Rattus norvegicus: one gene and its partners. The protein of the gene in region 5 interacts with the protein of the main gene of each other region in a biochemical or structural test. Links are inferred from orthologs where the notes say so. Each region holds a gene or a part of one and is shown on either strand. Other genes may lie near its edges.

The links.
Region 1: the proteins of Htt (region 5) and Sh3gl3 form a complex in vitro, tested with the Homo sapiens proteins (2 studies listed by BioGRID and IntAct, with this or other methods). The link is inferred for Rattus norvegicus from reciprocal best matches to the Homo sapiens genes HTT and SH3GL3.
Region 2: the proteins of Htt (region 5) and Hap1 form a complex in vitro, tested with the Homo sapiens proteins (4 studies listed by BioGRID). The link is inferred for Rattus norvegicus from reciprocal best matches to the Homo sapiens genes HTT and HAP1.
Region 3: the proteins of Htt (region 5) and Hip1 form a complex in vitro, tested with the Homo sapiens proteins (2 studies listed by BioGRID). The link is inferred for Rattus norvegicus from reciprocal best matches to the Homo sapiens genes HTT and HIP1.
Region 4: the proteins of Htt (region 5) and Pacsin1 form a complex in vitro, tested with the Homo sapiens proteins (2 studies listed by BioGRID and IntAct). The link is inferred for Rattus norvegicus from reciprocal best matches to the Homo sapiens genes HTT and PACSIN1.
Region 6: the proteins of Htt (region 5) and Sp1 form a complex in vitro, tested with the Homo sapiens proteins (2 studies listed by BioGRID). The link is inferred for Rattus norvegicus from reciprocal best matches to the Homo sapiens genes HTT and SP1.
Region 7: the proteins of Htt (region 5) and Prpf40a form a complex in vitro, tested with the Homo sapiens proteins (2 studies listed by BioGRID and IntAct, with this or other methods). The link is inferred for Rattus norvegicus from reciprocal best matches to the Homo sapiens genes HTT and PRPF40A.

Annotation. Positions count from the first base shown.
Region 1 is NC_086019.1:145,632,255-145,635,754, reverse strand, and holds part of Sh3gl3 (endophilin-A3), read right to left. Parts: intron 2,427-3,500; coding exon 2,268-2,426; intron 1-2,267. UniProt on the Homo sapiens protein: Implicated in endocytosis. May recruit other proteins to membranes with high curvature.
Region 2 is NC_086028.1:85,783,704-85,787,827, reverse strand, and holds the start of Hap1 (huntingtin-associated protein 1), read left to right. Parts: upstream 1-1,324; 5' UTR 1,325-1,346; coding exon 1,347-1,737; intron 1,738-2,676; coding exon 2,677-2,753; intron 2,754-3,079; coding exon 3,080-3,196; intron 3,197-3,308; coding exon 3,309-3,487; intron 3,488-3,632; coding exon 3,633-3,732; intron 3,733-3,837; coding exon 3,838-3,904; intron 3,905-4,124. UniProt on the Homo sapiens protein: Originally identified as neuronal protein that specifically associates with HTT/huntingtin and the binding is enhanced by an expanded polyglutamine repeat within HTT possibly affecting HAP1 interaction properties.
Region 3 is NC_086030.1:26,768,778-26,772,746, reverse strand, and holds the start of Hip1 (huntingtin-interacting protein 1), read right to left. Parts: upstream 2,801-3,969; 5' UTR 2,693-2,800; coding exon 2,573-2,692; intron 2,567-2,572; exon of another isoform or gene 1-2,566. UniProt on the Homo sapiens protein: Plays a role in clathrin-mediated endocytosis and trafficking. Involved in regulating AMPA receptor trafficking in the central nervous system in an NMDA-dependent manner. Regulates presynaptic nerve terminal activity.
Region 4 is NC_086038.1:5,764,929-5,767,460, reverse strand, and holds part of Pacsin1 (protein kinase C and casein kinase substrate in neurons protein 1), read right to left. Parts: coding exon 2,502-2,532; intron 2,412-2,501; coding exon 2,284-2,411; intron 1,100-2,283; coding exon 912-1,099; intron 578-911; coding exon 468-577; 3' UTR 1-467. UniProt on the Homo sapiens protein: Plays a role in the reorganization of the microtubule cytoskeleton via its interaction with MAPT; this decreases microtubule stability and inhibits MAPT-induced microtubule polymerization.
Region 5 is NC_086032.1:80,073,313-80,076,668, reverse strand, and holds part of Htt (huntingtin), read left to right. Parts: coding exon 1-47; intron 48-919; coding exon 920-1,082; intron 1,083-1,266; coding exon 1,267-1,427; intron 1,428-2,340; coding exon 2,341-2,554; 3' UTR 2,555-3,356.
Region 6 is NC_086025.1:135,437,050-135,440,549, reverse strand, and holds part of Sp1 (transcription factor Sp1), read right to left. Parts: intron 2,160-3,500; coding exon 1,991-2,159; intron 1-1,990. UniProt on the Homo sapiens protein: Transcription factor that can activate or repress transcription in response to physiological and pathological stimuli.
Region 7 is NC_086021.1:58,050,010-58,053,509, forward strand, and holds part of Prpf40a (pre-mRNA-processing factor 40 homolog A), read right to left. Parts: intron 3,194-3,500; coding exon 3,085-3,193; intron 2,488-3,084; coding exon 2,337-2,487; intron 1,689-2,336; coding exon 1,555-1,688; intron 1-1,554.

The DNA of each region.
Region 1 (3,500 bases), on a different chromosome or scaffold from region 5:
ACAGGGTGCTCACAGCCTTTGTAACTCTGACATCAGGGGATCTGCTGCCCTCTTCGTCCACAGGCAGCGCTCTCACATGGTGAGCGTCCATCCACACGGACAAGTATCCATGCACACAACTGGTATTTTTAAGCTCATGTTATAGCTTATCCAGGACAGTGGGAGACAAGGGTTAGAGTCAGTGAGTCCATCCAAGTCCTGGAGGGTGAGATTTCAGGCTTTGAATTCCTGGTGCCACAGAAGCATAAGCAGGAAGTAACCAAGGATAGAGCACAGCATCTCAGATCCTTCTTAGCCACTTTCCTCTGTTTACCCATTTCCTTGGAATGGATGCTTACAAGTCCCAATTCCATTCCCTCCTTGTGTGGATGAGACTGGAGCCTGTCCTTAACATATGCCTTACTCTGCCTATAACTGCTTCTCGTGGTCAGTAGCCCCGTGAGGGATGCTCACTCAGTGTCAGCATCTTTTATGCTATTCTGGTGGAGCCACGCTGGCTCTACATTGAGAGGCCGGCATCCATCAACTGCGGTGGTAGAGAGGAGGAAGTAAAATTTTGAGACTTTGACCCTGGGCCATACCGCCAACACAGTTGATCAAAAGATCAATAATCACACTTATGAAGGCTCACACCAGATACCTGACTCCTTTGTCAACTTCTCAATTAGACAGAACCCAAACCAGTGTCTGCTGTGGCTGAGTTCCCCAAATCTCCCCCCAACAATGACAAAGCATCTCCCACGTGTGTTTGGAGGACGCCATGATCCTTCTGCTCTCTGCTAGCATGTTCTCCTGGAAGCCTTTCTGTAACAGCCCGTTCACCAGTTTCCAATAGGAGCAGTGTCGAGTGTGTCCCAGTGTGAACATAGAATGCCCTCCAAGGGTCACACTGAGGGTTTGATCCAGAGATCATGGCAATATTTTATCACTTCTGGAACTTTAAAAGATAAAACCTAGCTTAAAGTAAAGGGATACAGGGGAGAGTAAGGCTGTTCTCTCCCTCTCCCTCTCCCCCTCTCTCCTTCTCTCCCTCTCTTCCTCTCCCTCCCCCTCTCCCTCTCTCTCTTTGCCCCCCTCTCTCTGTCTCTCTCCCTCTCTCTCCCCATGTTCCTCTCTCTCTGTCTCTCTCCCTCTCTCTCCCCCTCCCTCTCTGCCCCGACCCTGTATCTCCTTTCTGCCAGTCTAAGGGCAGCATCTGCCCCACCATGATGCTCCATGGCAACATAATGGACACAGTGAAGCCAGCTAGTGTGGTCTGAGACCTCCAGCCCCTGAGGCAAAGCTCACCTTCCTCCTTTTAAGTTGTTCTCTCAGGTCTGTTCCAGGACACTAAAGTCCAGCCAATTCTGGGTCTAAGCACTGCCAAATCCATCAGGCAGTGTCCCAGCTTGCAGACCTACTATGTTTAACAAGAATTAAAGGGATCCAATCATATTTACCCAGAACCACAATGATATCCTAGAGGAAAACCCAACCATCATCAACCACTCTGAAGCATAGCTCCCAGCCATGAAAGGAAGCAGGAACAGCCATACAGGCCAAGTGACCAAGGGTGGACATGAAGTTGGTGACCAAGAGGTATCAGAACTCTGAAGTATAGCCATGGCCTTGGCTTCATGGAGGCAGGGGCTGGGGGAGATGGATGAGAGCCAAGGTAAGAGCTTAAAAGACACACCCAACAATGTTCAGCGAGGGTTGTCAGCTCTTCTCCCCTCCCACCAGATCACCTCAGTTTGTTCTGCCAGTGGTGAGCAATGCTGCCATTAGCCTATGAGGCACCAAGGGTCGCTGGAGGAGAACGCCAGGCCACAAGGACATAGAAAACCCCAGGGAGACCCCTTCCAAGTCTGGCTGCTGTCACCCCCAAAAGAGAAGAAAGATGACCTGTTCTATGGCACAGGGACCAGTGTGTCTCCTCAGCTAACCCAATAAACAGTGACACAGATCTTCACCCCAGCGCATGCTGTTCAAACTTGGCAAGCCTACAGCTCCAAACCACATGCTGTGGCCTTTAACACAGAGACTGCTCTCCTGGGCCATCTTCCGCTACAAGGCCACCTCAGAGACAAGCAGCCCCGCCAAGGACTGAAGCTTCAGTCTGGGATTGCTGACCACTATATGTAAGGCAGGAAGCCACAGTTACAGAACGTTCTAGAAACGTCCATTAACAATTCAGGTTTGAGAACACCACCGCACAGCAGTCATGCTCATGTGCTGTGTTTTTTACTCGTGGGCATTCAAGTCTTCTGTGTGGTTTAAATACTTACGTCATTTTCTAAAAAATTAAACATGCTTCTTTCGGCCAACTCCTTTGACTCTTCAAACTTTTCTACTGCTTGTCTGATTTCTTCCTCGGGGATCTTACCCACCCGCTTCTTTTTATAATCATAGTCCAGACGGCGGCCTTCTAGCTTTCTCAGGTGGTGCTGAAGAGAGAAAGGAAGTCCTCACTAAATGTTGGCATTCACACCTCGATGATGAGACTCACTCTAGACTGTGATTCACACCATGATGAGAGTCACACTGTGATGAAACTCAAAAACTGTGGTGTGATTTACACCACAGTGTGACTCACTCTGAGATGAGACTCACACCACGGTGTGTGCTCAAAGCACACATGGTCTTCTTTATGACTATGAAAATTCTCATTCCTTTTTCTCGGCCTAAGTCCTACCTGTTGCTGTTTCAGACTTCCATGCATACGTAGGTATTTTAATCTGAGTCTGCCCCATTCTCTCTCCTTTACCTCCTCCCCTCCTCCCCCACCAGCATCACTTTCCCTTCCTAACTTCGTGTGTGCTTTCTTTCCAGTCCACGGAGGAGGCCACTTTGCCAGTTGCACAAGGACACAGAGCCGTCTGCTGGAGCACCCCTCAAGAAAACCGACCCCTCCTCCCCTGGAGGCTATTGGCCAGTCCTCAGCCAGGGACATTGTGAGCGTTGGCCCCACCCACTCTTCATCCTCTGCTCTGCACCAAGGCTGCCCACACTGCCAAGCTTTCAGAGCATTTACGGATGGACACATGATGGACAGAGCAGTGGGAATCCATCGCCACAGGATTCCCTTCCCCAATTCTTTAACGTACACAATGTCTAATCACAATGTCTAACACAATGTCTAATTCTACAAAAATTAAGAATACTTCCATTGTCAATTCCTCCCTAAAAAGGTGACTCCAAAGTAATAATGATGATGATGATGATGATGATGATTATGATGATGATGATGATGACGATGATGCATGTCTAAAGGAGCCCAACAAGAGAAAGAGATGGACAGCCATGCTCAGGACCCACAAGCACAGGAGGAGTGCCTTAGAGTCTGGAGAAGAAAGAGAACTTCCCACGGGAAATAACATCTATGGTGAGATCAGAGACACTGGTGAGAAGAAAGCAATGACCATCAATGAAAAACGAACCGTCACCTGAGGACAGGAGGTGCCTGCTGGAGGTTAGGCAGTGGTTAGACAGGGAAGGGGGAGCCAGAAGACCACAGAGGC
Region 2 (4,124 bases), on a different chromosome or scaffold from region 5:
TCTGCTGTGTAAACGTAAGGGACTGTATTTGAATCCCTAGTCTCCACATGAGCGTCTGGTATGGTGGCTCTTGTCTGTAAACCCAGGGGTTGAGTTAAGTGGGTGTCTGGGGGCTCCCTGGCCAGACGGTCTAGTCAAAGTGCTGAACTCCAGATTCCGTGAGAGACCTTGTCTCAAAAAAACGAGATGGCAAGGGCCAGACAACATCTGATGTTGACCGCCGACTTCTGCCCACAGACACGGACACATTCGTACACCACATACAAAATATATTAAAATGAAATATTTTCAAAAAGGTGAAATCAATAGGATTGGCAATTGGAGGATGGTGGAGGAGAAGGGAGAACATCAAGAACGATTTTGAGATCTGAGTCCATGAGTCACCATTTCCTTTTAGCCTGTCTCGCAGTCTAAAAGCATAGACATGGCTACTGCCCTCCCTAGCTCCCACCCCCCTCTCCCAGTTCATTCAGGACCGAGAGCAAGCTTCCAAAGCATCTATTTCTCTGGGGAGCCCACCGTCCATGAACTGAAGAGCATAGGTAAAGTCGTGAAGACCGACATTGATCCTTTCAGACCCCGGGATAACGGGTGTTTTGGTGTGTGTGTGTGTGTGTGTGTGTGTGTGTGTGTGTGTGTGTACACGGAGGTCTGGAAGAGTCGTCACAGAGAAACATTTAAGTAGGATCCCCTCCGAAGATGCTTGGACTATATATAGGCCTTGCGAATTAGGGTTGGAGATAAAAGAACGAGTGGTGAACGCAGTAAGATGGAAGGCGTCTAGGGGCGAGTGCGGGAGTGTGAGCTCGAGGACCTGTGGATGACACGCAACACGTTGAAAGCCATACCGGAGTTTGGATTTCTCGCTTAATCCACCTGGGAAGACACAGGCGTACTGCCTCGATTCTCAGGTCACCTCGGAATGTATTCAATGTTGTGTAGAACAACAGAGAAAGCCCCTGGAAGCTGGGGTGACGGGAGCGCGCGCGGGAGGGCTGGGAGGGGGGGGTTGTTTCTAGGCAGAAGCTACGGGTCCCTCTACTCAAGTCCAGGGAAGCCGCGGCTTTGGACAGAACCATTCTCAGAAGATGGAAGGGAAGAGAAACCCATCATCGTGAACTCGATCCCATGGAAAAAACTGGGCACTCTCTCATCTCTTTCTTTCTTCTTCATTCATTTACGTCCTATTCCGTCACCACTGGCTGCTTTCTCGTAGGATCCCGAGTCCTCAGCACCACTAATTGATCAACGGTCACCCCTAGCGCCACACGTGGTACAGCCCAGTGGCGCCCGCTCCGAGCACAGGTTATAAAGGCTCGGCTGCGACAGCGGACTGCAGAGTCAAGATGCGCCCGAAGGAGCAGGTGCAGAGCAGTGCCGGGGACGGGACGGGGTCGGGGGACCCAGCAACAGGCACCCCCACGACCCAGCCTGCAGCGGATCCCGCTCCGGAGCCCTCGGCAGAGCCCAAACCTGCTCCGGCGCAGGGAACCGGGTCCGGACAGAAATCAGGATCCCGAACCAAGACAGGAGGAAGCTTTTGTAGGTCCAGGATCCGTGGCGACTCGGACGCACCATGGACCCGCTACATATTCCAGGGGCCTTACGGTCCCCGGGCTACTGGCCTGGGCACTGGAAGGGCTGAGGGAATCTGGAAGACGCCAGCCGCGTACATCGGCCGAAGGCCCGGCGTGTCCGGCCCTGAGCGCGCGGCGTTTATTCGAGAGCTGCAGGAAGGTAAACTGAGTCTCGGGGATCCCACACTGGGCGTTATTAGGGCATCTCTAATAACCACCGACTCAGGCGCCCCGCCCCCTTGTGGCTCTCAGTCCCACCTTTCCACCACCCCTGCGAGACCACTGTCCGCCGTGCCTGTTTGGTTTCCCTTTCCCCATCTTTTCCTCTGTCTCAGGTTCCCCGATTATTGTAGGTGCGTCAGATCTAGGGCTGTCTTGCTCTCCCCGCCCCCCTCTTCGCGCCTGTTGCTGTGGCAGATCTGCGCACTCTCAATGCCCCCTCCCCGTCTACCGCAGTGCCAGCAGAGGGGCGGGGGTTGCGGGTGCGCTGCCGGGTGCGCTTTGAGCCTGCGCTAGCCCGCAGGACCAGCCAGCGTGGGTGGGTAGAGCGGGGGGCGGGGCGGGAGCCTTTGACACTGCTTGGCCGGAGGGGTCTGGGTCGCGCTTTCCTGAAGCAGGATTGAAGCGGGAGGAGTGGGCGGGGCACTGGCCTTCTGTCCCTCCTCTTCTGGGCGGGGCAATTTTAGGCTGAGGTGCCCGCTTCTGGTGCTGAAGAAGTAAGTCTACTTGGCCCTCCTGTCACATGCAACAGGTTTAGGATGGGTTACGTGCATCTGTTACGATCGAGGAGTCTCCAGTGAGCTGGCTAAGCTGCCGACTGAGTCAGGCATGATGAATCCAGTATTTCCCCTGACTTCTTATCTCGAGGGACCAGAGACCCAGGGGTCTTGAAAGTCTGGTTCCTGAGCCTGGAGGATGGTTTTGCCTTTACAGCACCCAGGCCCCTCCTGAGAAGGCAGGAGTGCTGAGATCCGGAGCTGTGAAGAGGGTGTTAGGGCCAGATAGAACGCAGTCTCACCACTTTTGTTGTGAGGGATGTAGGGGGCTGTGGGCAGCCTCGGCTCCTTTCCCTGATCCACTCAGGCCTTTCCTCCTGCAGCGCTGTGTCCTAATCCACTGCCCAGGAAGAAGATCACCGAAGATGATATCAAAGTGATGTTGTATTTGCTGGAAGAGGTGGGTACCGCCTTGCCTTCTTCACTCAGGCCAGCCCTCATTTTAGCTCTTCCCTACAGGACTTAGGGCTTTTGTCTGTTTTCTGCTTGCCTGGGTGCCAACTTGAGGGCCCCTTTCCTGAAAGGCACATAGATTTCAGAGGACCAAATCTGGGCTGATCTTTTTCCTCAGGATGAGAAACTGAGTCAGACCCCAGAGTTGGTTAATAGTCTTTGGTTTAGTACTTGGACGGCTGGGTGCTGGGGCAACTTTCTTCTTGTGGCTTAGCCCCTGCTCTCGCCCTCCTGTTTGGGAGAAGTATGGAATGGTTGGCTCTCCTTTTGCAGAAAGAACGGGACCTGAACACAGCCGCTCGCATCGGCCAGTCCCTGGTGAAACAGAATAGTGTTCTGATGGAGGAGAATAACAAGCTGGAAACCATGCTGGGCTCAGCCAGAGAGGAGGTATCTGGGCTCCTAAGGACCAAGAGGAGGGTTCGGCTTGTTCCCTCCCCCAACCAGCACCTGTTCTGCCCCTCCGTGCTCACCTTTCTGCGGCCCCTTTCTCCTGCCCTAGATTTTACATCTCCGGAAGCAGGTGAACCTGCGAGATGATCTCCTTCAGCTCTACTCGGACTCCGATGACGATGAGGAGGATGAAGAGGATGAGGAAGAGGAAGAGGGAGAAGAGGAGGAACGAGAAGGACAGAGGGACCAAGATCAGCAGCACGACCATCCCTATGGTGCCCCCAAGCCGTGCGTGTTCTGCCTTTGTGCCTCGGTTGTCCGTTTGTAAACGGGCATGGGCAGTTAGCCTGCTGGCATTGCCTCGTCTGGGGAAGCCTTGGGGGACTGGGATCCTCCACCCCTTACAGTCTGACTCTCATTGCCCCCTTGCCAGGCCCCCTAAGGCTGAGACGCTGCACCACTGCCCACAGCTGGAAGCCCTGAAGCAGAAGCTGAAACTGCTGGAAGAAGAGAACGACCATCTTCGAGAGGAGGTGAGGACAGGGAGGGGGCGTGCCCTTGGGCAGGGGAGGGTGACTGACGGCGGGGGTGGGGGGGGATGGTGGCGGCCTTACCCCTTCCTATTCCCCTTCCTCCAGGCCTCCCACCTTGACAACCTGGAAGACAAAGAACAGATGCTCATTCTGGAGTGTGTGGAACAGTTTTGTACGTGACACTGTAATCCGGGGAAAGGGCGCTGTCCCAAGAGCTGATAGGAAGAACTCAGGGTTTGGGGTCTGGAGATGCAGTCCTGGCTCCGGCACTTTGCCGCTGTGTTAGCACGGCCAAATTCCTCGGCTTCTCTGAATCTTCATCTTTACAATGAGGACTGATAACCCCGGCCTGCTCTTCATCCCCTCAGGGTTTATGAGGGTCAGGAGAAGCA
Region 3 (3,969 bases), on a different chromosome or scaffold from region 5:
AGGGTCTCCCTATGTATAGGCATGGTTAGCCTGGAATCTGCTATGGAGACCACACTGGCAAGGATCCTCCTGCCTCTGCCTCCTGAGTGCTGGGATTGTCAAAGTGTCCCACCATGCCTGCCAGCTTGAGAGAATTTCAACAACTCAGTTGGATTGTGCTGCCTCATGCCAGTAATCTGAGCACTAGGGAGGCCAAGGCAGGGAGATGAAAGTTTGAGGGCCAGCCTGGTCTACATAGCTGAGTTCCAGGCTAGCCTGAGCAACACAGTAAGATCCTCACTCAAATAAAACAAAAGCAACAATAACAAAACAAACAAAAAATTAAAAAAAAAAAAACCCTCAGCACTTGGGAGGCAGAGGCAGGCAGACCATTGTGAGTCTGAGGCTAGCCTGATCTACAAAGTGAGTTCCGGGTCAGCCAGAGCTGTTATACAGAGAAACCCTATCTGTAAAAATCAAAAAGAAAAGAAAAAAAGGGGAGGGAGGAGTTTCCATAACTGAAAAACTCTGCTGTAGTATATCTCAATGCGTGTGCACACATGCACACACACACACACACACACACACACACACACACACCAAATCTGACTAATAACAAGTGTTCTACGAAGGTAAAATTAGACACTGACCTACCAGTCTTCCTGTTGAGTATTCCCTGGGTAACTAGGAAAAATGTTAGTTGTGGCTGGAAACATTTCAAATGCCTAATTTCTTTCTTTTTTTTTTTTTCTTTTCTTTTTTTTTCGGGGCTGGGGATTGAACCCAGGACCTTGTGCTTCCTAGGCAAGCGCTCTACCACTGAGCCAAATCCCCAACCCCTCAAATGCCTAATTTCTATCACTGTCTATTAATTTCAAACTTTCAAAAACACTCTTAATGTAATTTTGGGTGTGTGTGTATGGAGGGGTGTTCATGGCGCAGCTCAAAACTGAAGTCAGAGGGCAACATGGCTCCTTCCCTGGCATGAAACGCAGGTGGCCCCTTAGCCAGCTCCACTGGGCCTAAGCTCAAACTTTTGTTTTGTTTTGTCTTTGTTTTTTTGGAGCTGACGACTGAACCCAGGGCCTTGCGCTTGCTAGGCAAGCGCTCTACCACTGAGCTAAATCCCCAACCCCAAGCTCAAACTTTTATGTCTAACTTACTGCTCCAGTTTTAAGCTATCAGAGATTCTCAGACGGTTGGATGTCACAAAATAGCTCCGGCTTATTTTCCTCTTTCAGTTTAAAAATAAAAGAGGTTTGTAGCGGGGAGAAGATGAAAACTTTCTTTTTCCTTTTGGCAGCAATGCCCAAAGTTCAGAAGATCTGAGAAATTAAAAAAGTTCCAAAAACCCTTAGACATTGAGAGGTAAGTGAATGCCGGTTCTCCTCCTCCCCGGGTACAACTACCCCTTTTTTCCCCCAGACACAAGAAGTGGATCCAGGGGTCTCAGAAACAAGAGGTGGATTAAAGTCCCCTGGGGTGAAAAGGCTGTCTTCCGTGCACCGTCCATTTATAGAACTCACGGGCTCTCCTATCTCTTCCACCTTTTCTACTCACAGAACACCACAGGGGAGCTGCCTCTGGCTGAAGTCAACTCGATCTTCAAAGTAGAACTTGGAGAGCCAGAGGAGAACAAGAAATCTACGGGCCCAGCTTCCGCAGTGGGATCCGAAGGGTTGTACTCTCAGATTTTACATACAGATGAATTGGTAACTACACACCCAGCGCCTCACTACTTGACTCGGTCCGATCGATACAGCATGCATAAAAGCTTGAGATAAAAGTGGATAGTGGCTTTTTGTTGATAACCGCGGTGGAATTTTGGCCATCTGCCCTGGTCAGACCAGACAAGGCAGGCGGTCTGCTTAGTAGCTGTCAGGCATATTTTGGAGGGTGAAAGGAAAACCGCAAATCAGGATTCTATGTATCACTGGAGAGCTTAACCCGACACGCGAGGGTCTGACAGTCCAAGCGTCGCAATTCCTACACGCGTCCCCATTTCTCCAAACCCCCGGGGGTCATTTTCCAAGTTGGACCACACTTCACATTTCCTACGGTCCCTCCCATCACTCAGACCCCTTTGGCGCAGCCTCTGAGGCCAACAGCTGGGGCTGCTGAGAGCCAAGTTAGAGGCACCGTTGAACGAGATGCTGGGGAATGAAGGAAGAAGTCAATACTAAAGTAAAGCGATCAGAGCCACCCTTTACACCTCTACGTTGGTGTCCCCACACTTGCAAAAACCGAGTGACTTCCAAGTGCTTCCCCTACCCAGGAGCACCCCTTCCATCAGTCCCTTTTCGACTCCCTTTGGCCTCCCTTGTGACCTCTGATGGTGCTCGCCGAGGCTATTCTCTCAGTTGCAGGAATCTGCAGTTCCCCGGAGTACACCCCGACCCCCGTGCCAGTAGGGATGCCCAGGTCCCGGACCTCCCTGGGACCCGCCTAGTTCCGCACCCCAAAATGATTCTGATCGCAGCCACCTTGCCTAATTCCCTCCCGGGACTGCAAGACTCACTCCGTTCCAAGCCTCTCTAGCACCCTGCATCACTCCAGGTGCCCCCAGGGATGCCCCAGGGTTCTCGAATCTCACCTGAGTCCGCTCGAAGCTCTCGCGCTCCGCAGCCTCCATCCCAGCACCAACCCCGCGCCGGCTCAACACTTTGGGCAGCGGGTTGGGTACCTGCTTCATGGAGCTGGCCATCCGGTCCATGTTGTCTGGGTGAACAGAGTCAGGGGCCCTCGGCCGCCCCGGGATCCCCGCGGCGCCTCCCGCCCCTCCCTACCCGCGGGGATCCGGCGCTAACGGGGACAGATTACGTCTTCCATTGGTTGACAGCGCTGTCCATCTCCCTCAGGACCCACCCCATCTCTCCAAGAGGCTTTTCCCCACATCCCTTTTCCCACTTCGGAGGCGCTCCGCTCACTTCACCGGCTGGCCCGCCTCAGAGCGGTCGGCATGCTATGACTGGTCTGAAGGTTTGTCCGTTAACTTCTGTGGGCAGGACCTGGTGGGCTCTTGCTCCCTCCCCGAGGCTCCGCCCCATGATCGATACACCGCCTTCCAGGCCTAGAAATGCACTGTCATTGGTCTGAAGAGTTATCTGTCAACACAGCAGGGCTGGCTTCGTGAGCTGCCCTCACCATTTTTTTGCTGCTCCACCCTACATCCGTCACTCCTCCTTTGTTCCCACCCTACAGGACCAAAAGAGCACCATGATTGCTCTGAAGGCTTGTCCGTCATCTTAATGGGGCAGGGCCTGGCTGCTACAGACCAGCCCTTGAGACTCCACCCTATCTCGAAGCGCCACCTCCTGGGCCCTTCTCTGCTGCGGGTTGCTGAGCTCGAAGAGCTGCCGTCCAGCCGGCGCCACGAGTTCCCGAGGGGGACGGAAAGGCAGATCAAGGGAAGCATGGCTGCACCGCTTTCACCAGGCTTGCCGGGGAACTCCGCATCAGTGTGGTCCGGCGATGGCGGCCTTAGTGGCTCTCGAAGTCTCCTCCCCGTGCATTCCTATCTGCCAGTTCTGGAGGATCGCCGACCCGGGTCCCCAAGTACTGGACTTTGACTGCGGGTATCTCCCCAGAGCTTTCCCTTACCTTGGTAGAAACCCCAACAGATGCTCCTTGTTTATCTATAGCAGGGTCCACTCCTCCCATCCTGTTCTGGGAGCATCTACAGACTGGGACGTGTGCTCCTCAGCAAAGAAAATGTTACACGTTCTCTACTAACAGAACCAGTGGCACCGTTAAGAATTTAAAAAAATTGATGATGCTATTCATCTATCTGTTCAAGAACCCAGTACACGTCTCACTTGTACTAGGCAATGTTTTGATTAATGAATGACAGCATCAAACTCATTATATAGCCGAGTCCCTCGAATCTCCGTGGACCACGATGCTTGGCTTTTGTTAATGTGTGTGAATTATGTACCTGTGTGTATGTGTGGGACTGTGCTCACGCGGCAGTGCACCTGTGGAGGTCAGAAA
Region 4 (2,532 bases), on a different chromosome or scaffold from region 5:
TGGGAGGAAAAGAGCACCCCCAGGGCAGAGTGGAAGACTAAAGATTGGGGGCCCTTTAAGAGAAGGCGGGATTGAAGGAGAGTTTAGGAAGCCAGGCTCAGGTGACAAGGGTAGCTGCTGGCAGCTGGGGTGGGACAGGAGAGCGAGACAGGGTAGAAGGATCCAGAAGATCTCCCTCAAGACTCAGGAGACTCTTTGGTGGACTCTGTAGACCAGATGTGACATTGGGTTAAGTCCCAAGATCCTTGCCCACGCTGGGGAGGGGGCCATCATCCTAAGCCCCACTCCCCTGGCCTCCAGGTAGGCTGCAAACGCTGTCTCTTCATATTTCTTCTTTTTTTGTTCTGTTTTGACTTTTAAAAAAATAAAAGCTTGATCGGAAAATATGTCTGGAACTCTATGGCGAGGGGAGGGGAAGGGCAGAAGGCGGTGGACAAGGAGTGAGAGGAGGCGGGTGGGCAAAGTAGCTATATAGCCTCAACGTAGTTGGCAGGATAGAGGCCCAGCTGCCCGCTGTCCAGCCGCCCGCGGCACCAACCCTGTTCGTCCTCCTCTCCGAGCTTGGTGAGCTCGTCTCCTGGGGAGGGAGACACAGGGACACCTTGTTAATGCATGGCTCTGCCCCAGTACTCCATCCCATCTACCTGGGCTTCAACTCGGGGCTACAGTCCCATTCAACATTCAAGTGCTGGCCCCTGTTCACTCAGTCAGCACCTCACAGGGTTTCAGCCCACCATGCTCAGGCCTCTGCCCTGGCCCCTTGAAAGACTGTCTTCAAGTCAGACCCTTGCACTACCCAGCTCAGGTCAGGGCTCTCCCTCAGCCCCTGCACTCCTTCTACATCCAATCTAAGCCCAGTCTTCTCTCCCTAGTCCTCCAGCCCCACCCCACCCTCAGCCAAGCCCCCATACCGGCCTTGAAGCTGAGCTCATCCTGCTCCTGACCGTCGTAGTCATAGAGTGCCCGTACACGAACTCCCTTGGCATCGTCCTCGAAGGGGTTGGCGCCACCATTGGTCTCGTTCCCCCCAAAGGGGTTTCCGCTCTCATCGTCTGACCACTCGGTGGCATACGCTTGGCCTCGGTCATAGCTGCTGACACTTAGGTGCAAATGGGGACCTCTATCAGCGGATTTGAGGCCACCCCCATTCATATCAACATTCCCTCCTAACCAGAGCTGGGGGTCCAGATTCTACAAGGCTGGAGCTGAAGTCGGATACACAGGGCAGGGTCCCAGCCAGTGAGCCTCGGACAGCTTGAACAGTTTGCATTAGGATTTCGGCTCGCGCGAAGGAGGACCCAAGGACTGATCCTGTGAGAGACGCTACCCCTACGTGGACGAGACAGCTTTGCCTGGTTCTGAGATGTCTAGACATGCTGCCTAGTCTCTCTGGACTTAAGCTTCTCTATCCATTCTCAGACTGGCCGGAGGCTTGAATTCATTAATATAAGGAGGGCTGTACTGGCTGGTTCTGTGTGTCAATTTGACACACGCTGGAGTTATCACAGAGAAAGGAGCCTCCCTTGAGGAAATGCCTCCATGAGACCCAGCTGTAAGGCATTTTCTCAATAAGTGATTAAGTGGGGAGGGCCCAGCTCCTTGTGATGGTGCCATCCCTGGGCTGGTGGTCCTGGGTTCTATAAGAAAGCAAGCTGAGCAAGCCAGGGGAAGCAAGCCAGGAAGTAACATCCCTCCATGGCCTCTACATCAGCTCCTGCCTCCTGACCTGCTTGAGTTCCAGTCCTGACTTCCTTTGGTGATGAACAGCAATGTGGAAGTGTAAGCTGAATAAACCCTTTCCTCGGGGGCTGGGGATTTAGCTCAGTGGTAGAGCGCTTACCTAGGAAGCGCAAGGCCCTGGGTTCGGTCCCCAGCTCCGAAAAAAAGAACCAAAAAAAAAACAACAACAACAAAAAAAAAAACCCTTTCCTCCCCAACTTACTTCTTGGTCATGGTGTTTGTGCAGGAACAGAAACCCTGACTAAGACAAGGGTGCTCAGAGTACTGTGTGACTCACAGCAGGTGTCTTGAAGGGTTACCCACCTGTTTTTCAGAGGACACATAGTAGCTATGGTCTGGGGTCATTTCTTGTCTTCTTGGATAAAATGTATCTAGCCCAGTGTGTGGGGTGTGGGTCTCTCTCTCTCTCTCTCTCTCTCTCTCTCTCTCTCTCTCTCTCTCTCTCCCCCTCTCTCTCCCCCTCTCCCTCTCCCTCTCCCTCTCCCTCTCCCTCTCCCTCTCCCTCTCCCTCTCCTTCCCAGGAGCTCCATGGGAGGTACTCACCTGCCACGGTCCCCAGCCTGGGATGTAGATTCTACAGCCCCAGTGGCATTGCTCAGGGCGGCCCCCTCTGCCTTCTTAGGCTGTTTCTCCTTCTTGGCAGCGGTGTGGGGGAGGTCTGGGTTCCACTCCTGGAGGTGGAGGGAAGTCAGGCTGAGGGGTCTGAACTGACAGTCCCTTCCTAGGATCCCACTTTACCACCCCACCCTGCGCCTCCTCACCTCGAACTGCGGCCAGTTCATGGGCATCCCG
Region 5 (3,356 bases):
GAGTCTGTGATTGTAGCTATGGAGCGAGTGTCTGTGCTCTTTGACAGGTAAGAAATGCAGCAACACCTGACCTTTATCCTCAGTAGTCATTGACTGCCCTGGAGCCACAGCCAGAGCAGTTCCTTCCACGTGTATTTGTTCATTCTCTTGAACTTTAAATTGCATCTTTGCAGCCGTTTTCCCAATGCATGCATATTCAGAGTACCACCTGCAAGCCAGACTCAGGGACAACTGGACCCATGCAGGGGTACAACCAAGCCACTGCCCTGGGGGATCCCACAGGCAGGGATGAGGAAATAGATACTCCCGGAGTGTAGCCAAGTGCTATGGTGGGGCTCAGCCCATATCCACTGGAAGGAGACACGGTTGAGTGTCAGAGTCACTTGTGTACTTCTTGGCCGTATACCACGGTGGTGTGGCATTAGTCACAGGTCAGCTGTCTTTAAGGATGCTGCTAAAGGTGGAAGTGTTGGATGTTGAGACAAGAGTCAGTAGGAGCGTCAATGGGAGTCTGTGTTTGAAGGGAAGAAAAGCTCCTGATTGACAATAGCACCCTGGATATTAGGACATGCAACAGTGACGCTTTAGAGCCTTTTGATGTGGAGTCTCTTCTGTAATGTCACTACCTACCTGTTGCTGCTGCTCCCTGACAGGGCCTTCCCACAACTGCATTATTCTCCCCAGAGTGGGAAAGATCACCCTGTGCCCAGATTAGTCAGGGCAGCAAAAGGACAGCCTGGATGTCGTCTTTGGCTTTTAAAACTCATACCCCAGTTGTGATCTGAGCCCCACTTAGAACATCCCTGTGGGTCATGGGTCATGGGTCAGGGGCCTCTGAGCCTTGGTCCATGTTGGCTCTATGGGCAGGGTTGAGAGGCTAAGAACCAGGTGAGGCTCAGATCAGTTCCTCTCATTTCAGGATCCGCAAGGGATTTCCCTGTGAAGCCAGGGTCGTGGCAAGGATCCTGCCTCAGTTTCTAGATGACTTCTTTCCACCTCAAGATGTCATGAACAAAGTCATTGGAGAGTTCCTGTCCAACCAGCAGCCATACCCACAGTTCATGGCCACTGTAGTATACAAGGTGAGAGTGTACTTGCATTGTGGAGCAAGGACAGAGCAGGAGGATGAAGGGGGACTCAGTCCCACACTTATGGTAGGCCTGTCATCACGGCTAGACTCATCCTTTAAGATGGGTGGCAGCTGTGGTCCCAGTCCCCACCCAACCCCACAGCCTGACCCTGTGCTCAGGGCTCTCTCCTCCCCAGGTTTTTCAGACTCTGCACAGTGCTGGGCAGTCATCCATGGTCCGGGACTGGGTTATGCTGTCTCTGTCCAACTTCACACAAAGAACTCCAGTTGCCATGGCCATGTGGAGCCTCTCCTGCTTCCTTGTCAGTGCATCTACCAGCCCATGGGTTTCTGCAATGTATCCTTCCATGGGGCTTTGGCCAGGTTTCAGTCTCCACCAGCCTTTCCTTATTCTCTTAGCATCCAGTTCAGGTTCCACTGAGTGTTTTGAAGCCTAAACTCTAAAGAACCCCACAGGTATCAAGGGGATGCTTACCCTCCCCTAAAACACTGATGGGGACATGAAACAGAAGGTCTAGCCATTTGCCAGCCAGGGCTGCCAACGGGTGGGTTTGTGGCAGGAGTACTACTGCTGAGGGAGAAGAGAGGAGCCCAAAGGGAGGCAGGGCAGCTCAGGCCGCTGCTGGCCCTGCGGCTGCCCCAGCGTCTGGCATGCTTTATCCCTCTGAGGTTTTCTCAATGCTGCTTTTCATTAGCTCTCATCTTTACACTGCGGTCACCCTCCTGGGGAAAGCCGTAAGTAAAGCTGCAGTTCCCGCCCTAACAGTGATGCCAGGAGTTCCTCTTTTGGCAGCCTTCTCCACAGTAGAACAGGAGTTACTGAGCAGCAAAGTTGTCTTGGTGGTGACAGTACAGCCTCACCCTAAGTACTGGGAAAGCCTTGCAGGCAGGGTGCTAGCTCTGCCCTCCCTGCACTGGAGCAGTGTGAGCGGAACACCAGCCACTAACACTGTGTGGGGAGCACAGCCCAGGTAAGTGCTGTTGCGCAGAGCACTGGGAACCAGCACCCTGTCTGCACTGCAGGGCTCCCACTTCCTGGGCCTCTGGGCCCCTGGGCCTACCCATCCCTACTCTCCTGGGCAGACAGCAAGCTGTAGCTGGCAGAGGATTACAAGCAGGTGCTGTGCTAATGTGGTCTAGGCTGCCCTCTATTTTGGTTGCCCAGTCTTCCTGGTGGACTTAGGGAGGGAACCGCTTGGGGAGGCTGTCTTCCCACCCTTGCCATCATTCCCCCTTAACTGTTCTACCAGCCTTCCACACGTCATCAGCAGGATGGGCAAACTGGAGCAGGTGGATGTGAACCTTTTCTGCCTGGTTGCCACAGACTTCTACAGACACCAGATAGAGGAGGAATTCGACCGCAGGGCTTTCCAGTCTGTGTTTGAGGTGGTGGCAGCACCAGGAAGTCCATACCACAGGCTGCTTGCTTGTTTGCAAAATGTTCACAAGGTCACCGCCTGCTGAGTAGTACCTGTGGAACAAGAGGCTGAGAGGAGGCAACTGCTGTGGCTACAGCCTCCAGGGGCCTGCACCAAGCTTCTGCTAAGGCTGCCTTGGACGTGCAGGCTTCCACTTGTGTCAAGTGGACAGCCAGGCAATGGCAGGAGTGCTTTGCAATGAGAGCTATGCAGGGAACATGCACTATGTTGGGGTTGAGCCTGAGTCCTGGGTCCTGGCATCACTGCAGCTGGTGGCAGTGCTAGGTTGACCAGGTGTTTGTCTTTTTCTTAGTGTTGCCCTGGCCATAGTTGCCAGGTTGCAGCTGCCCTGGTATGTGGAACAGAATCCGAGCTCTTGTAAGATGGTTCTGAGCCCCCCTGTCCCACTGGGCTGGAGAGCTCCCTCCCACATTTACCCAGCAGGTGTACCTGCCACACCAGTGTCTGGACACAAAGTGAATGGTGTGGGGGCTGGGAACTGGGACTGCCAGGTGTCCAGCATCATTTTCCCTTTCTCTGTTTTCTTCTCAGGAGTTAAAATTTAATTATATCAGTAAAGAGATTAATTTTAATGTAACTCTTCCTATGCCCGTGTAAAGTGTGTGACTTGGCAAGGCCTGTGCTGCATGTGACAAAGTTTATGGAAGTGGATGCGCCTTCTGGCCACCACTCTCTCTCCTGTAGCTACTCAGTCTAGTCGGGCAGGTCCCTCATGTAGCCCTCCCAACACCCTATGGCACTTGCACTTCACACGGCTCCTTTTTCTTATGCATTCCATTTGACTAGCACAGAGTGGTGTTGGTGTTAACTGCCCTATGTGAGAATCC
Region 6 (3,500 bases), on a different chromosome or scaffold from region 5:
AGGCAGAGGCAGGTGCATCTCTGAAATGAAGGCCAGCCTGGTCTTCAGAGTAAGTTCCAAAACAGCTAGGGCTACATAAAAACAAATAAGTAAACAAACAAACAAATGAATTCCCTGTCTCAAAAACCAAAAATAAACAAATGAGCCATTCCTCTAGGCCTGAATATTAAGGGTGAAAGAAAAGCATGGAAGCTCATCCTTGTAATCTCTACTACTTAGGAGACAGAAGCCAAGGCCAAGTTAGGAGATGGAGCATTACCCTGATTCCATGTAAAATAAAATAAGAAGCTTATAGAGGAATTATAATTCAGAACATGGCTGCTCTGGCAAGAGATCATATCCAAAGACCTTCTAGGTCTGTGTAATCCTAGAACTCACTATGCCACCTCCGCTGGAATACAGACAAGCCTTTAATCCTAGGAGACAGAAGCATGAAGATCTTGAGTTCTAGTCAGTTCTGTTCAGTCAGTCAGTGGAGTTCAGAAGCAGTTTTACAGGGAGAGCCCCCCCCCCCCAACCAAGTTGAAGAGAGTTATAATAAGCTACACACAGGTAAAGACAGAATGAACCAGAGAATAAAAAAAAGTCAAAAGATTAGAACAAATTGCTAGAGTTAGTTTGAGGTGAAGCAGGGAAATTAAGTAAGAAGCCAGTTTGAATCAGTCAGCTTAGAGAGGAGTTCTGAGGCAGAATAGATGGGTTGAACCAGCCAACAAGAGCTAAAAAGTGTAAGCTTACTCAGCAGTAAGTCTCAGAGACTAAAAACATTCTAGGCCTATATTAGACTGTAGGGAGGCTAGAGCCTCCCAGGCCTAAGCCTAAGTTAGACAACAATTACATCAGGTGACTAAAAATTATGTTTATGGGAACTGGACGTGGTCTCACACCTTTAATCCAAGCACTGGAAGTCTCTTCGAATTCAAGGACAGTCTGATTTGCATAGTGAGTTCCAGACTAATTAGGTCTACATAAACAGACCCTGTCTCAAAAATGAACAAACAATAAAAATGAAATAGAGGGGCTGGGGATTTAGCTCAGTGGTAGAGCGCTTACCTAGGAAGCGCAAGGCCCTGGGTTCGGTCCCCAGCTCCGAAAAAAAGAACCAAAAAAAAAAAAAAAAAAGAAATAGAATAAAAGTTGCTGAGTTTGGCAGACCACGTCTATTAATCCCTGCCCCTACCCTAAACTCTTCCAGTTTATAACCTTCCCTCCCTCCCTAAGCTTATCCTTCCCATACAACCTTGCCATCTAGACAAGTGTTCTCGTCTCTCGTTTTTTATCTTTCTGTCTCATTTTCTACCCTGTTCTGTCTCCTGTTATGGCCAGGTCGAATCTACTGGTTATTATTTAGTCTATTACTTTCTCTCCTTGCTCTGAACTCTTCAGTGCCTCTGGCTATACTCCACCTCATATCTACAATGAAAACCTTCCCCTCAACCACAGCTTGGAACGGTCATGTCCTCAACTTTATATATCTGGTGCTCAACCCCTCACTTTATATACTCCCTATCTGGGGTTAAACAGACACATGTATGTGTTACACAGGAAAAGTCTGTCACATGACATGTGATTACAGACATGTATGACCACAACTGCTTTATGCAGTGCTGGGATTCAAACTCAGGACTTCATAAATACTAGGAAAACCCTTTACCAACTGAGCTACACACTCAACCTCTCCTATATCTTTTTATAAAAAACCTTATTTATTTTGTGTATGTGAGTACAACACTGTCGCTCTCTTCAGTCACACCAGAAGAAGATATGGGATCCCATTACAGATGGTTGTGAGCCATCATGTGGTTGCTGGGAACTTAACTCAGGACCTCTGGAAGAGCAGTTGGTGCTCTTAACCACTGAGCCATCGCTCCAGCCCACTCCCTATGTCTTAAATAATAAAATTATACACTTTCCCTCATATTTCTATGTTCATTGTTTGTTTATTTCTATAAAAAAAAGAAAAATTCTATATTCAATAAGATGAGCTCACCTCCCCTCACTGTCTTTACAATAGGGGCATGTACATGCTTCCCGCCGAGTCCTGCGACCAGCTTGGGGTTGGGGATCAGGGCTGTTCTCTCCTTCTTCTCCACCTGCTGTCTCATCATGTATTCCATCACCGCCAGGTCCATGAAGGCCAAGTTGAGCTCCATGATCACCTGAAATAAAAAGGAGAAAGGTGGCAATGGGTAGGACAAAACAGTTATAGAAATCTCATGACAGAGCCAGGTGATGGTAGCACATGCCAGTAATCTTAACTCTTGCAAGGCAGAGGCAGGTGGACCTCTCATGAATTTAAGGCCAGGTTGATCTACAGAGGGAGTTCTAGGACAGTGAGGGGTACACAAAGAAACCCTGTCTCAAATAACCAAATAAATAAACAAATAAAATTAAAATAGAGAAAAAAAATCTCACTGGTACATCACACTCATAGCACCATCCCTTTTCTTTTTACATTTTTTTTTCTTTTTTCTTTTCTTTTCTTTTTTTTTTTTTTTTCGGAGCTGGGGACCGAACCCAGGGCCTTGCACTTCCTAGGCAAGCGCTCTACCACTGAGCTAAATCCCCAGCCCCTCTTTTTACACTTTTTTTCCCCACCCCCTCTTTTTACACTTTTAATTACAGTTGATTCTTCCATGAGTGGTGTGTGTAGGATGCTTGTCTAAGCCAGAGGAAAACTGTTGGCAATCAGTTCTCTTTCTACCACATGGGTTCCAGGAACCAATCACAGGCTGTCAGCCTTGACAGGAAGTATCTTTACCTGCTGAGCCATCTAACCAGCCCATGACACACCGTTCTGTCAAGACTCGTCTTTCTATTTTAATCTGACATAAGGTCTTGCTATATTTGCCCAGAATGACCTTGAACTCTGAGGTTCAAGCAATTCTCTGGCTTCAACCTCCCAAATAAGTACCCGAGGGACTGCCAAGGGGCTACAGGTTTAAGTTTACATAGTAGTTCCAGGATAACCTTGGCTAAACAGTAAGACCCATGCCAAACAGAAGCCAACATGACATCACTATCATACTGGAATCTGTTCTCCACCCCTTTTAAATAAGAGTTTTAGAAAAGAACAGTTTAATCTTAAAACATGGTACCAGTTAAGCAGTGAGATAAATTAAAGACTGGCCTTCCTGTGATGAAAGTAACTAGGAAACCAGAGGCACAGTGTAATGACAGTCTTGGCCAAATCCAACAGTTGCCTCTAGCATCAATTTCTGAACCAACTATGGCTGTTAAAGATATTCTCAATGGCTTCTAAGTAAACAAGTGTGGCTAAAGCCAAGCCTTCCAAGATCACGAAGAGTCAAAACCTTATTCTCTGTGGAGACCCCGGGAATCACTAAAGTATGATGAAATGAAAACGTCAAGAACTGTAACACAAAAACAAAACATCATTCTAGAACTGATCTCCGTGCCTCCACACAGTAGGCGAGTATTCTACCATTCAAGAAGTTAATTTCTATATAGTTCTAAAAACTCCAATTAGGCATCTGGGC
Region 7 (3,500 bases), on a different chromosome or scaffold from region 5:
TATCTATTTTATTTGTTATTTTATGTCTACTTCAAATTTAAACTATTGTAAACTTTAAACCTTAAAACAGTCTTGAAGCTTACAAGCTGCAAAAGTCTAAGAGCTCTCCTAAAAAACATTTTTTGCCACATAGTTACAAATAGTTGATTATCTTAAAACTAGGGATAGCCTATTTTATAGCTAGCTATGAAAATTATAGGAACATAGGTAAACAGAATGTCTACTTTCATGGCTTTAATAAGACTGGTCTTTGACTGGTCATTTCCATGCTAAATGTGATCAAAGAAATGATCTTTCTCACTAATAAGGAACAATTCCAGAAATCACTGGTGTACAAAAGAGCATCAGTATTACTACATATTAAAACTTAATGTATTGACTGGATCAAATTCTTAGGAGGAGGCTTAATAATCTGTGTTCTTAGTAGTCATGAATAATCTTATGCAGAACTACTGAAAAAGTAACTTACAGAATAGTGAGTTTCACAGAACAAAAGTAAATTGCTGTTCAACAGCTGAGGGCAATAGAGTTAGTAACCACTGACATGGTAGGAATAATTGTTTTTAAAAAGTCTTTTACATGAGTCTAACACAAAAGAGATTTCAAGAACTATTGCCCTAAAGAATAACAATAGATCAAATGATAAACAACAAGCTTAAGTAAGCCACTGCAACCTTGTTGTCACCCTAACACAAAGTTTAATACACAAGACTAAAGACTGCTTGTAACCAAGACTGTATAGTTTTAAATCCTAGCTCCATGCTTAGTAGTATCTCACCAGTTCTGTTTCCTTATTTATCTGAATATATTCAACAAACATGATATATTAAGAAGTAGTTTCAAAACACAGGTTATACAAGTAAAATATCTTAGGTGAGCATTGTGGCATTTATCTGTAATCCCTGTACTTGAAAGGTGAAAAAGATCAAGAGTACAAAATTCTTTGGGCTACATAGCAAGACTGAGGACAGCCTAGGTCACCTAGGATCCTATCCCAAAGAAATAAGAGAATAAGAATTTAAACAGCAAAAATTCATTTCTTTGTAATGGGAAGAATAGCACTAGAAGCAAAAAAGGAGTCACTGACTACGGAACACAGTTTAGCTCCCATGTAAAGGGCTTAATTATGTTCCATGCCTAAATTGTACAGTACATCCTTTGAGAACCAAATATCAACTGCTACAAAGCACTCAATCACTCATCTTGTTTCCACCTAGCCCTTATGCTATTTTGCTCAGCTGAAACCTACGCTCAAGTTAAACAATGCTTGCTGCACCCAGCTATGTTCACTCTCCTCAAATGTCCAAGAACAAAAACTAAGTTATAAAAATTAAAGAGTTCAACATACTGGACCACCCGTGAAGTCTAGGTAACGAACCGGAAACAAGTATCTCAAAACTGTCTTGATCCTTCTTGACACTCAATGACTATATTACAGAACTAAGAAAAGGCATCTTTCAGGGTTGGGGATTTAGCTCAGTGGTAGAGCGCTTGCCTAGCAGGTGCAAGGCCCTGGGTTCGGTCCCCAGCTCCGGGGGGGCATCTTTCTATTACCTGAAAAGATTCCCTATTTTTACGCTGCCTCCTCCTTTCTCTCAACAAAGTCTTCTGTTTTTCTTCTTCTTCTTCCTTTTCTAAAGCTCGGATGTGTTCCTCAAAGCATATTAATGCATCTTCTTTATCCATGTCTATAGTATTTTTTTAATAAAAAAAGAAATATTAATAAAGAAAGCAGTTTAGTTATTTGCATTAAACTCTACAAATTTCCAATTCAGTATAAAAACACTTGTATCTGAATTCAAACATAATTATATAATGACACAAGTTATGACTTCAGGTATCACAAAGGATAAATGGAGGAGGACATGTACAAGGTATAATGAACTACTAACAGAAGCAATGTCATGCTTGACCCCCATTTTTTAAAACATCTAAGTTCAAGAGTTCTGTATGCATTTGATTATATAGCAAAGGGTGAGATTTCATGGTCAACTCCCATTTGCATGCTGGGAGTAAGTATTGTGCATGCTGTCTTAGTCACTCAGAGTTTTTAAGTGCAGCTGCCTTGCTGTGTTCAGAAGACACCAATGATCTACAAATGACTGCCTTATTACATATTTCAAGAATTATCTCTAAAATCTAAATTGAAAAAATATAAATTTAAAATTCAATTAAAAGGAACCCATTTGAAAATAAAGCTCCCCCCACCCCAAAATGGACAAATCATTGTGTATAATTGAATTAGTGACTAAATAAAAAGTCAGAGTAATTCTGATTTCATACAAAAATTGACTAACTCTTTGTGACTGGAGGGCACTACTTGTCATTGTTCTTACTCTGTAACTCTTCATCCTCTGCGAACGTTGGATTATCCATCAGATACTGCTGGGCTTCAGACCAAGTGGTAGAGTATGTAACATTAGCCATATTGTCAAGTATGTTTTTTAAGGCTTCCCAATTTCTCTTTCGTAACTGCTTTGCTTGTTCCTACAACAAATGTTTGAATACCTTTTAACATTCAAACAAGATATCTGAATTGCAATTACTTAACATTATTTTATATTCTGATAAGCTTCAAATGTTTTATATAGTTCTGCAGTATCAACACTGTTTATTTTGTTACTGTTGTTTGTGACAGAGTCCTTACTTTTACTTTTTCCATCTGTCTTTGAAGTCAAAATCCAAAACTTTGTTTTTGTGTCTGTATTACCAATATGCAGTACAGATACATTTTACAATGAGGGCTACTGAAAGCAGTCATAGCATGTAAATACCAAAGTCCTCAATGTCATTCAATTCTATTTAAAGTTTTAGTAATATCCTTTAAAAATGGATGTAAAACAATTTAACAGTGATAAATATTCAGATAAATCAGCACCCACTATGATTTAAACAATAATTACCATCTTCGAAAAGAGGGAAAAAGATTGAGTTAACTCATTTTATCTTGAACATAGCTTCCAATGAGCAGATATGATATATAACATACACTATACAAATTAAGTCAAGAAATTCTGTTATAGTTTTATTCTTTTAAAGTAAAATCCTTAAAAATGTTGAAAATACTTATGATTTTAAGAGTACCTTTTCTTTCTTTGAAAGGAAGAACAAAACGTCTTCATAGATTTCAAGACGATCACGCTCTGATATTGCATTCCAAACTTCCATCTCCCCAAACATTTGCTCAGCTTTTCTAGTGATTATGAAATCAAATGTTACTTCCTTAATGCATCAGTACAATTTTAGATCATTTTTTTCAAAGGTAGTCAATGAACACTCTCCACTGTAAGTTTAAAAATCATTACTCAGGAAAATTCCATGACAGTCAATAAAAATATCAAGAGAAGAACAAAAGTCTCTATTTTCTCTTACTTTAAGGCACCTTCTGCAGACTTTAAAAACAGATATCAGCTAATGTGGTATGTTTATTCCCTAATTAATCCCTTAAGTGGGCCTTTATATGAACTCAATTAATGACTTATGGGAGTCCCTTATAGAGC